Linked DNA regions of Mus musculus. The protein of the gene in region 1 binds, or shares a complex with, the protein of each later gene. Links are inferred from orthologs where the notes say so. Each region holds a gene or a part of one and is shown on either strand. Other genes may lie near its edges.

Region 1 (5,496 bases):
GCCCCGGCTCTGGGAAGGAAGCGGCAGAGCGGCAGGAGGTGAGACAGGAAGAGGGAGTGAGGGAGTTACTCAGCGGGACAGGAGCACGCCATCCGTCCGAGGCCCTGGCTCTTACCTGGGCTGTCTGCAGATACTGCAGCATGAAGTACCAGAGCTGGGCAGGCGTGTCCAGTAGCAGGAACTGGAAGCCAGCGGAAGTGATGCAGGGTGGCTCTCCAGGTTCAGTGCTAGACACAGAGCGGGCTGATGGTGGCAGCTTGCAAAGGCTGCACTGAGTCCATCTTACACACACTTAGGCCCCTCCTCTCAGCCAGCTCTCTCCAGTTCCTCCTAACCCCAGACACCCATTTTATATGAGACCCAAGGAGATGGCCGAGCGGAGAGCTGCCGTGCTCTGCCCTCCTTACCTTTTCATAAGCCCGGCCTGGCTGAGGAGCTGAGCCAGGTCTTGGCTGACAGCTGCACTGGGGGAGCCCACCATGAAGTGCAAGACCACCTAGAGACGAAAAGGGTCAGGAGCCTGGGGTCTCGAGGGTTACAGGGAACCGGAGCACAGTGGAGGCCGGTTCCTCGGCTCCCAGGGGGAACGGGCGCACAGCAGAGGCACACTCCTCACCTCCCAGCGCTCCTCAGCATACTTGTCCAGTGAGGGGACGTCCCGGGCATGCTTGTCTGGTCCCAGCTGACTTGTGTCATCAGACCAGGCCTTGCCCCTGTGGCCAGGATACACAGGAGTAAGGAACCCTGTCTGCTTCCTGCATCCCTAGGTCTTTACCCTCATCCCAAGGGCTACAAGAAAAGGACATTTTCTGCACCCTACATCCACACCTGGTCCAATGTATTCTTGAAGGAGCATTCCAAGGGGTGGGGGTGGGGATGGGGAGAGGCTCTGGGGAGGCCTCTCAGGAGATTCTCCCCCACCAGTGTAATAAGCAGTTCCCCTTGCCTAGCTCAGGAAGGGAGGGAAATGACGTACCCACCCAGAAGGGCAATTCGGAGGTTCTGGCGGAAGACGGGGTTCAAGATGAGGCCTTGGAGTCCACCAGGGAGCAGCTGGGTATGCCAGATACGGAGGCCACTCAGCAGCCCCGTACTTTCCTCCTGAGCCCTGGACAGAAGCAGAGTTGAGTGGGGTATCACCAATAGCAAGGAGACCTCCAGGGAGCTTCATCTATCTCCTCTGAACGGGAGGCCCTTGGAACAGTGTCGCAGGGCGAAGCTGTGTTTCTCACCTCAGATACCTGCACTGCAATGCTAAGGAGAACCTAGTTCGTTTTGATTGTTGTTGGTTTCTCTGTTTTGTTTTCTAAGTCAATTCTTTTTTTTTTTTTTTTCCTTTTCATTTGTTTTGTTTCAGGAAGGGTCCTATGAAGCCTGGGACAGCCTCAAACTTACAATACATCAAACTTACGATATAATCCTTGAATCTCTGGTTCCCTATCTCTACCTATCAACTTGGGGTTGGGGGAGTGCGGGGGCGGCTTTTTCCCCTTTGTCTTTTTGTTTGTTTGTTTGTTTTGTTCTAGTTAGCATACAGCTAAAGAGACACAACTCTCCACAGTGGAAACCTCTGCAGGTGTATTCTGGAGGGTTTTCCTTGTGTAGGGCAGGCTCTGTTGAAAGGCCCACATCTGATTCCCCTAGCTCCTCTGTGTGTGCACCCTGCAAGTGTTCCAAACAAAAGTCCTTTGAGAAATGTGGCTGTTGGGAAGCTCGAAGCAGCTGCGCCCGCCCGGGACTCACTTGCTGAACTCCTTCTTCACCCACAGGGCCACCGCAGCCTGTGGTAGCGGCTGCTCCAGAAAGAGCATCCTCATGACCCAGTTCTTAGCCAAAGAGGGGAGCTCCCTGTAAGGTTCAGAGGCCAAATGTTATCAGAAGCCACCTCACACCTGCATCTCTGCCCTCATCTGCCTGTGGTTTAAAAAAAACAAACATCCCAACTGCTCAGAGAGGCAGAGAAAGCACCCAGCTGACCTTTTTTTCTCCAATGACATCCCAGAAAGAAAAAGCTCCCTCTCCGAGAATTCTCCACACTGTCTTAAATTCCCTTCAACTCAACGTTGCTAATTTCTGTTTACTTGGTTGCTCCATCTCTTGACCTACGGTTGACATTAGCCCTTGGCTAAAAAAAAGGTGTGTGCTTAGGGCTGAGCCACAATAACAAGGTTTTTCTGGTTCATAATCTTGGAGTTCACTATGTGATCAAATACCCTGCAACCTCTGTCTCTCAAACGTCTCATGCCATCTCCCACGTCCTTAGCAGTCCCACTGTCCCCACAACCTCTTTCTGGTTTGGACTGACACACTTTGGAGTAATGTCTAACACCCTGGTACTCACGCTGGGCTAATAAGCCTCTCCCCGTGCTAACTAATTTCAGTCTGCAGGCCCCATTACATTCTCCAAACATCCCCTTTGCTCTGAAGGCTCCTCACCTGAAGACAGCCAGACAAGTGGCAGGGTGCCCATACAATCGGTCCAGCACCCCAGGGCTCAGGCCTCCTAAGAACTCCTGGAGATTCCTGCATTGTAGGTGTGCTCGGTTCAGTCCACCCCTCGCCGGGGTGATCTCCATCACCTGAGAGGGACAAATGTCAGAACTCCCACATGACCCAGGCCTATATCACTGACTCCAGATCTATTAGGTTCACTTTCTGTACTTTCCTGTCTGATGCCACTTATCACCTATTCCTCCCAAACCCCTCGTGTCCTGCTTCTTTTCTTCATTATGCAGCTCACAATGGCCTTGAATTTGCTATGGAGCCAAGGATGGATTTGAACCCCTGATCCATCTGCCTTTACTTCCCAAGTGGCCACCAGGCTTTTCATCCCATATCTGCCCTTGAAGTTCAGCCTTTGTTCAGTCTCCAGGAGGTGGAATTAGTCTCATTTTTGTGTATGGTCCTGAGGATCAAATCCAGATCCTCACCGGTGTGGACTGAATTACTTATCGTTTCATACTTGCGAGTGTTTTGCATATCAATGACATCTCAAGTTCACCTAAGCATTGACAAAGATACTTATTTGAGCCCAGGCTTCTCTCTCTTGTCCACCCTCCTGGTCAGATCAGTCCAAATGGGTCAAATCCTTAGCTCTCATCTGGGGACACGGCTATAAACTGCCTCATGCTTACCAACCTAAATCCCTTTCTATCCCTTTCCCTCCAGCCAGCCTTACCCCTCTCACTGAGACCCACGCCTCTGAGCTCCTCACATCTCCCCGACTTTCCTTTCACTCCGCTTCTCGCTCAACTCTCTCCCTTACCCTTCTCAAACCCCCTCACCACTCGGCTCCCCCTCGCGCACCCCGGGTCACCAGCCGTCGCCTAATCAGTGCTAATGTCTCGCATTGGCTCCTGGAAATAAAGGATGAGAATTCTAAAAGGTGGGAGAACCACGAAGAACTTCACAGACAGGACCCAGTCAATAAGCAGTCCAAAGAGAAGGGAGAGCAGAGAAATGTGTCAAGAGTAAAGGGGGTTAGAATAGGCAATGCACTCGCCTGTCGCAAGGCATCTTGGGAATTGTAGTCCTCTTCTAGCCTACATTGGAGACTATGAGTCAGGCTCTGACTACAAATCCCTAAAGGCACCGCAAGAAGGCCGGCCGAGAAAAGGTGGCTTTTCATTGGGATTCCCTAGAAACATCCGAAGTCAGACCTTTTGATTCCGCGCCTCTCTCCCCTATACAGCAAGGTGAATCTCTTGTCAGATCAGGAGGAGGCAGCAAACCTGGAGGAGCTCCGGGGCCTCCTATCGGAGACGTACTAAAGCAGCTTAGTGGTGTTATGTTAGATGTAGAGACCTCAAACTGGGTTTCTTTCTTTCTTTCTTTCTTTCTTTCTTTCTTTCTTCCTTCTTCTTATTTTTTTTTTAGGTTTTTCGAGACAGGGTTTCTCTGTATAGCTCTGGCTGTCCTGGAACTCACTTTGTAGACCAGGCTAGCCTCGAACTCAGAACTCCGCCTGCCTCTGCCTCCCGAGTGCTGGGATTAAAGGCGTGCGCCACCACACCCGGCGACAAACTGGGTTTCTTGACCTCTGTTGTTCCTCACGAAACTGAGATAATGATCAGTGCAGAACATCTTCACATGACGTGGATCAACACAATTGCCCTCATTTGGAGCTCAATCAATCAAAATGTCTATGTGAAGTCAGATTCCCTGGAACTGGAATTACATACAGCAGTGAGCTGTTATGTTAGTGCTAGGAATTGAACTTGGGCCCTTTGGAAGGACAGCCATCTCTCCACCATCCTCCCACCTGCTCACTCAATCTTAATCTCTTCCAACTCCCTGGGGAGTTAGAAGATTACATTGCAATTTTTAAGAGAAAGCTATCATTTGCCCTGATTTGATTTATGAATTTATCCTAGGCAAGACAAGGGAAAGGGAAAATGACATCAACTAAGGTCATCTGTAGGGTCTCCAATTCTTATGGGGGCAAATTCTGTTATTCTTACATCACAGGCTATCAAGCTCAACAAGAATAAGAGATCTGAGCCGGGTGTGGTGGCGCACGCCTTTAATCCCAGCACTTGGGAGGCAGAGGCAGGCAGATTTCTGACTTCCAGGCCAGCCTGGTCTACAAAGTGAGTTCCAGGACAGCCAGGACTATACGGAGAAACCCTGTCTCGAAAAAAACCAAAAACAAACAAACAAACAAACAAACAAACAAAAACAGAATAAGAGATCTGCACAAGAAAGTCCCAGTACCGAGATGAGAAACACATTTACCAAGGGCAAAAATGGTAAGGCCATGTAAGGACTTGATTATGCTTTACTATGTATTTTAAGGAAAATCACTGGCTGGTGAGATGGCTCAGTGGGTAAAGGCTTTGCTATGTTGTGACCTGAAGAGAGGGGGAGAGATATCCAACTTCCATGCCCATGCCATGGCGATGTGAATCCCAGCCTTCACCGTCCTGCACTCACATACCATAATAATAAAAGTCATCTTTTAAAAATTAGAGTAGTCTGACGTTATCTTGGTTGTAATATTAGAATAAACCTTTAACCATATCCTGACCTAGGCCCTATATTGGAACACCAGCCCCTCCCCCTCACTGCCGTTACCAAGCTCTCAGCCGAGGCCGGTCAGTATCTAAAGATAAAATGGCCTTTTCTCCAGGAGGGAGAAATTGAAGGCTTGCACATAGCCCCAGAATCGGCATTTAACTTCCCATTCCTCAAACCTCCTATATAAACCCAAGTACCCCCCTCCTTTTGGCAGATGCTACTTTAACGCTGTGTCTGAAAAAAACCGTCCGGTCAGTTGAAGTCAGTCTCCATTTTCCTTTCTGCCCCCTGTCCCTTTAAGCTGCTTCAGAAATCTAACAGAAATAAAATGCCTGTAACTCCAGCTCCAGGGGGAGGGATCCAATGCCCTCTTCTGGCCTCTGTAGCACCTGGACACATCTGTGCATATACATAACTTAAAAATAATAATCTTCTTTAAGAAGAAAAGAAGCTAAAAGAACAAAAGCAACTGATTAAAGA
Region 2 (4,712 bases), on another chromosome or scaffold:
AGGACATCCAGGGCTACACAGAGAAACCATGACTTGGAAAAAGCCAGGAAAAAAAAGAAAAGACGAGACAAGACAAGACGAGATGAGACAAGACCATGCCTTAATAAAAATTACAAAACAAGAAATGAGACAGAGCTGAGGCTGTCACTCAGCGACAGAGCACTGTCTAAGCTCTAGATTCAATCCTCAGTACAAAAATGTTTAAGTAGGTAAAGCAAAGCACAAAGGAAAAGCCCAGACATCACATACCCAGCATTAGCATACCTGTCCTCCTCTGGCCAGCATGCTAACCCATATAGTACTGGTGGGTCGGGAAGAATTCTCCAGGCATGAGCGACATTCTCCTGTATAGGCATACTTGGAATCCTTTTTGGCAAACACATAGACTGTGTTTGTTGCCATTTTCTCTTGAGCTATCAGAACCTATAGAAACAGTAAGAAAATTACAGCCAAGAAACAAAAAAGGTCATTGAAATGGCAAGAAGTAAAACCTCCATGGTTATTTAGTCTGGTCATATAGGCTTATACTTCACAGAAATATACAAGCTATAACCGCTGGCAAATTTCTAATGAACATTATACACAATTTCATAAAGTTTTCATTTACAAAAGTTTATGTATCACACCTTAAATAACTCAACTGTCACTTTCAGATTATCTGTAGGAATGCATACTTTCCATTTTATAAAAATTCATTTTAGAGTGTGTGTGTGTGTATGGTAGCCATGGAGGCCAGAAGAGGGCATCAAGCACCCTGGAAGTGGAGCTACAAGTGACAATGCCACTCCCTGTGGTGATACTGGGAGCCAAATTCGAACCCTCAGCAGGAGTAGCATGTGGTCTTATGTCCTGAACCATCTCCAGACCTGAGAATGCACACCTTTTAATTTTACTTTAGTAATTTCAATGTTAACTATCTTTTTAGTGTGCTTTAAATACCACTATACCTTTTCTGATCCATTGATAATAAAATAGCCACCGGGATCCAAAGGACACTCATTCAGCTCACACAGGTCACGATCTGTTAAGCCATTTAACAGGCAGTAGGTGGAGCGCAGCATAATTGGAATTTTCCCTATGAACGTTTTCTGGTGCTGAGTCTGCAGCTGTTCTTCACCTTCTTTAATGACTGTCTTTGTTATGTCAACGTAAAGCGGAGCAGAATACCTGCAAATAGAAGTGGGTCAGAACTGGCCAGAAGTTATTTGCTAAAATAACTACTTAAGTTGTTTGTTTGTTTGTTTGTTTGTTTTAATTCAGTATCAGATGCTAACAAAGGAAAAAAAAAAGGTCTCTCTTACGTGAGATTTCTTAACCTGGCTTCATTTGGCATCATTGGCGAAGGGGCACCATCTCTTTCCCAATGAGTAGGTTTGGAGAGGTAAATTTGTTCAAACTTCAGTAAATATCTTGGCTGAAATTAAACAAAAGCATAATAAGTTTGGAAAGCCAGGTTTTTACTGTACATTTGTAACCTCAGCACTCAGAAGGCCAAGGTGGGAGAATCATGAGTTTAAAGCCAGACTAGGCAATATAGCAAAACCTTGCCCCAAAATACACATTGAAGTAGTAATTACTCCATCTTAATTGACATTAGCATTTTAAGTAGAAGCAACTCTACAACCTAACAAAACCTAACCAATTTTACTGACATGAGGATGCTCTAAAGTTAAAATCCACATTACAGTGATGTGGTTTGTCCTACATTATATTATACATAACTACTATTGTATTATTATTTATATTAGTATTTTATACAATATACTTGTTATACCAATATAATTATTATATAAGTTTAAATAATATATATTGATAATATATTTTTTTAAACCAGGCATGGTCATGCACACCTTTAATCCCAGCATTCAGATGGCAGGGTCAGGTAGATTTTTGTGAGTTTGAAGCCAGCCTAGTCTACAAAAGAAATTCCAGGACACCCAGAGCTATATAAAGAAAATGTCTCAAAAATAAATGAATAAATGATTTTGATTATCTCTATTTCTAGGTAATGGATATATTATCTTTGAAAGTAAATGCCACATGTGTAGGTCCCTAAGGAAGCCAGAAGAAGGTGTGAGACCCTCACAGGAGCCCTAGGAACCAAACTCAGAACTTTCATCTCTTATATCTGAGGAGGCCTTTTTCACTGGGAATGGGGGAGCTGAGACAGACTCCCTCAGCTCAAGATGGCCTCACTGTGCAGCTTTACTACACATCCAAGGCAGGCCTTCTACTGGAGCCTCATGCCTGCGTCTCTCACATGCTGAGATCCCTCCCAGGCATACAGCACCTTGTCTGGCCCAAACAGTCATTATTTACCACATATGTCATCTGCTCTAAATTTATTTCAAAAAATCAAAACTGTGTTCCCCAACCCCACTGCCCCTCAGCTCCCGCCGGCCGTCCCCGCCAGGCATTTTACTTATGTTTTACATCCTGAGAAAGGAACCCAAGAACTTTCTCCCGTGTATTCATCCTGCTTCTGCAGGGACCACGATGCCAGCTGAGGTTGTCAATACACTGACACCAAACTGACGGGATGGGAGCAAACTATCCTGCTATTTTAATAAAACTTAGTGCTGCTCAAATCTGGGGCTAACCACTACACATTTATCTTTCCTGCCTGTATGGTGCACAATAATTTTTCCAGTTCTAAAATCATCAGTGATTTCAAATTCTCCAATGTAACTACATTTCATCATGACAGACAGAAACTGGACTATGGCCTGGCATTGGTACCACGCACCTTTAATCCCAGCACGTAGAAAGCAGAGGCAGGTGGATCTCTGAGTTCCAGGCCAGCCTGGTCTACAGAGTGAGTTCCAGGATAGCCAGGGCTATACAGAGAAACCGTGCCAAAAAGAAAAGAAAAGAAAAGAAAAGAAAAGAAAAGAGAAGAGAAGAGAGGGGAGGGGAGGGGGGAGGGGGGAGGGGAAGGGAGGGGAGGGGGAGGGAACAAAACAAAACTGGGTCATGTGTGACTCTGGCACTTGCTCTTGAAAACATCAGCCAGGACATTTATGTGCACCATGATGGCCATGTGCAAGCGCAGAGAGACAGCAGAAATCAAGATGATCCTTATTAATGATCTATACACTTACATGTGCGCTCTCACTGGTGAGGATGGAAAGTACAAAGTGTCCAAAGGGGGCGGAGAACAGGGAGGAGATAAAGTTAAGCCTAACTCTTCAATTATATCTACATGTTTAATTGTTTGTTTGTTTTCAAGACAGGGTTTCTCTGTGTAGCCCTTGCTATCCTGGAACTCACTCTGTAGATCAGACTGGCTTCAAACTGAGAAATCCACCTGCCTCTGCCTCCCAAGTGCTGGGATTAAAGACATACGCCACCACTGCCCTGCTATATCTACTTTTAAAACCCAAATCTTTCTATAAAAAAAGGCTTCCAGTCTGACTGACCATCAATGAAACTCTTCTGTGAGGCCTGAAGATTTAGCTCACGGTAGAACACTTGCCTGGCCTACGTGAAGTCCCATCCATGATTCCCATTATCACAAAAAACAAACAAGTTTTTAAACATGTATCTGCTGCCTGATAAAGCAATCCATGAGAAGAACTATTCTGACAGAAATAGACACAGGATTTCTCTCTATTATCAAATCTTAGAGATAACTAAGCAGATCATTTATGAAGGAAAACTACTCCCAAGCCAGAGTAGAGGGAACAGTAGAGCTGTCAGCGAACCAAGGGACAAGTCACCCTCTTTCCCACCATCACCTTAGACATTATCTTACGCCTAAGCTGCTCCAAGACTCTCAATCATCTCTAGACCCTTTCTACTTCAAGTAGAACCATTTACCTTTCTAAATGCGTATGTTAGACATATCCTTTGGCAATCCTTCAACAAATTCTCCAGAGCCTTTGATAAGCTGGCTCCATCTTACCTTCACCCAATGCTCTCACAACCAGATACATCCAATTTCATATGCTGCTTACTGTGGGCCCCACCCACTTCTCAAGCTAAGTACATCAACTACTTTCTTTTTCAAAGACCTAAGCCACCTCTTCTGAGGAAAGCCATCCCTACCTTGACTGCCAGCTCAAGTTCCCCATCTTCCTACATCAGCTGAGCTTTAGAAACAGCTTCTTCCTGCAGTGTTCACCACACTGGCCCTCTGAATTGACTTTTAACTCTTCACTTATGCAAAGATCATGACGAGAAAATAACTTGGGAGACTTAAAAAAACACATTATGGTCCTTTTTCAAGTACAATCCCTGAAAAGCCAATTTACTTTTGCTTTTAAGCAAAATTCTGTGCAGCAGCTTCAATTAGAATGAGAGTAATAGACCAGATCTCAGGATACAATTTAGAAAAAAAAGGACTTGACCGGCTAGAGATAATAACCTTTCTTCCTCTAGCTCTTCTCTGGCTGACCCTACCTCATGTTGTTTTGCAGTTTCCTTGTTTCTCAGAGACCAAGATGCTACTGTAGCTGCCTCTCTCTATTTCTCTGCAAACGGAACACTCAGTAACTATTTTGGACTTCTGTGAATCACTTATTTAAAAAACTGTAAAATTATACAGTAATAGATCTGGTCTATTACTCTCCTTGCTATAATTTAAAAACCACATGTGTTTGAATTAAAAATCAGCAAAAAAGCTAAACGAGCTATTATGCCTAATTTCCCTTTTTGACCTCAGATTTTAATGATGTATTCCATACAATGCAATAAAGAAAAATCAAGAGTCT

The links. The genes of interacting proteins can lie anywhere in the genome.
Region 2: Gtf2h4 (region 1) and Polr2b share a complex: the UniProt entries of both Homo sapiens proteins name them as parts of the TBP-based Pol II pre-initiation complex. The link is inferred for Mus musculus from reciprocal best matches to the Homo sapiens genes GTF2H4 and POLR2B.

What each region holds. Positions count from the first base shown.
Region 1 is NC_000083.6:35,670,250-35,675,745, forward strand, and holds the start of Gtf2h4 (general transcription factor IIH subunit 4), read right to left. Parts: upstream 3,495-5,496; 5' UTR 3,307-3,494; exon of another isoform or gene 3,266-3,306; intron 2,580-3,265; 5' UTR 2,577-2,579; coding exon 2,437-2,576; intron 1,849-2,436; coding exon 1,744-1,848; intron 1,109-1,743; coding exon 977-1,108; intron 714-976; coding exon 617-713; intron 497-616; coding exon 408-496; intron 228-407; coding exon 116-227; intron 10-115; coding exon 1-9. UniProt on the Homo sapiens protein: Component of the general transcription and DNA repair factor IIH (TFIIH) core complex, which is involved in general and transcription-coupled nucleotide excision repair (NER) of damaged DNA and, when complexed to CAK, in RNA transcription by RNA polymerase II.
Region 2 is NC_000071.6:77,316,666-77,321,377, reverse strand, and holds part of Polr2b (DNA-directed RNA polymerase II subunit RPB2), read right to left. Parts: intron 1,415-4,712; coding exon 1,302-1,414; intron 1,168-1,301; coding exon 948-1,167; intron 424-947; coding exon 265-423; intron 1-264. UniProt on the Homo sapiens protein: Catalytic core component of RNA polymerase II (Pol II), a DNA-dependent RNA polymerase which synthesizes mRNA precursors and many functional non-coding RNAs using the four ribonucleoside triphosphates as substrates.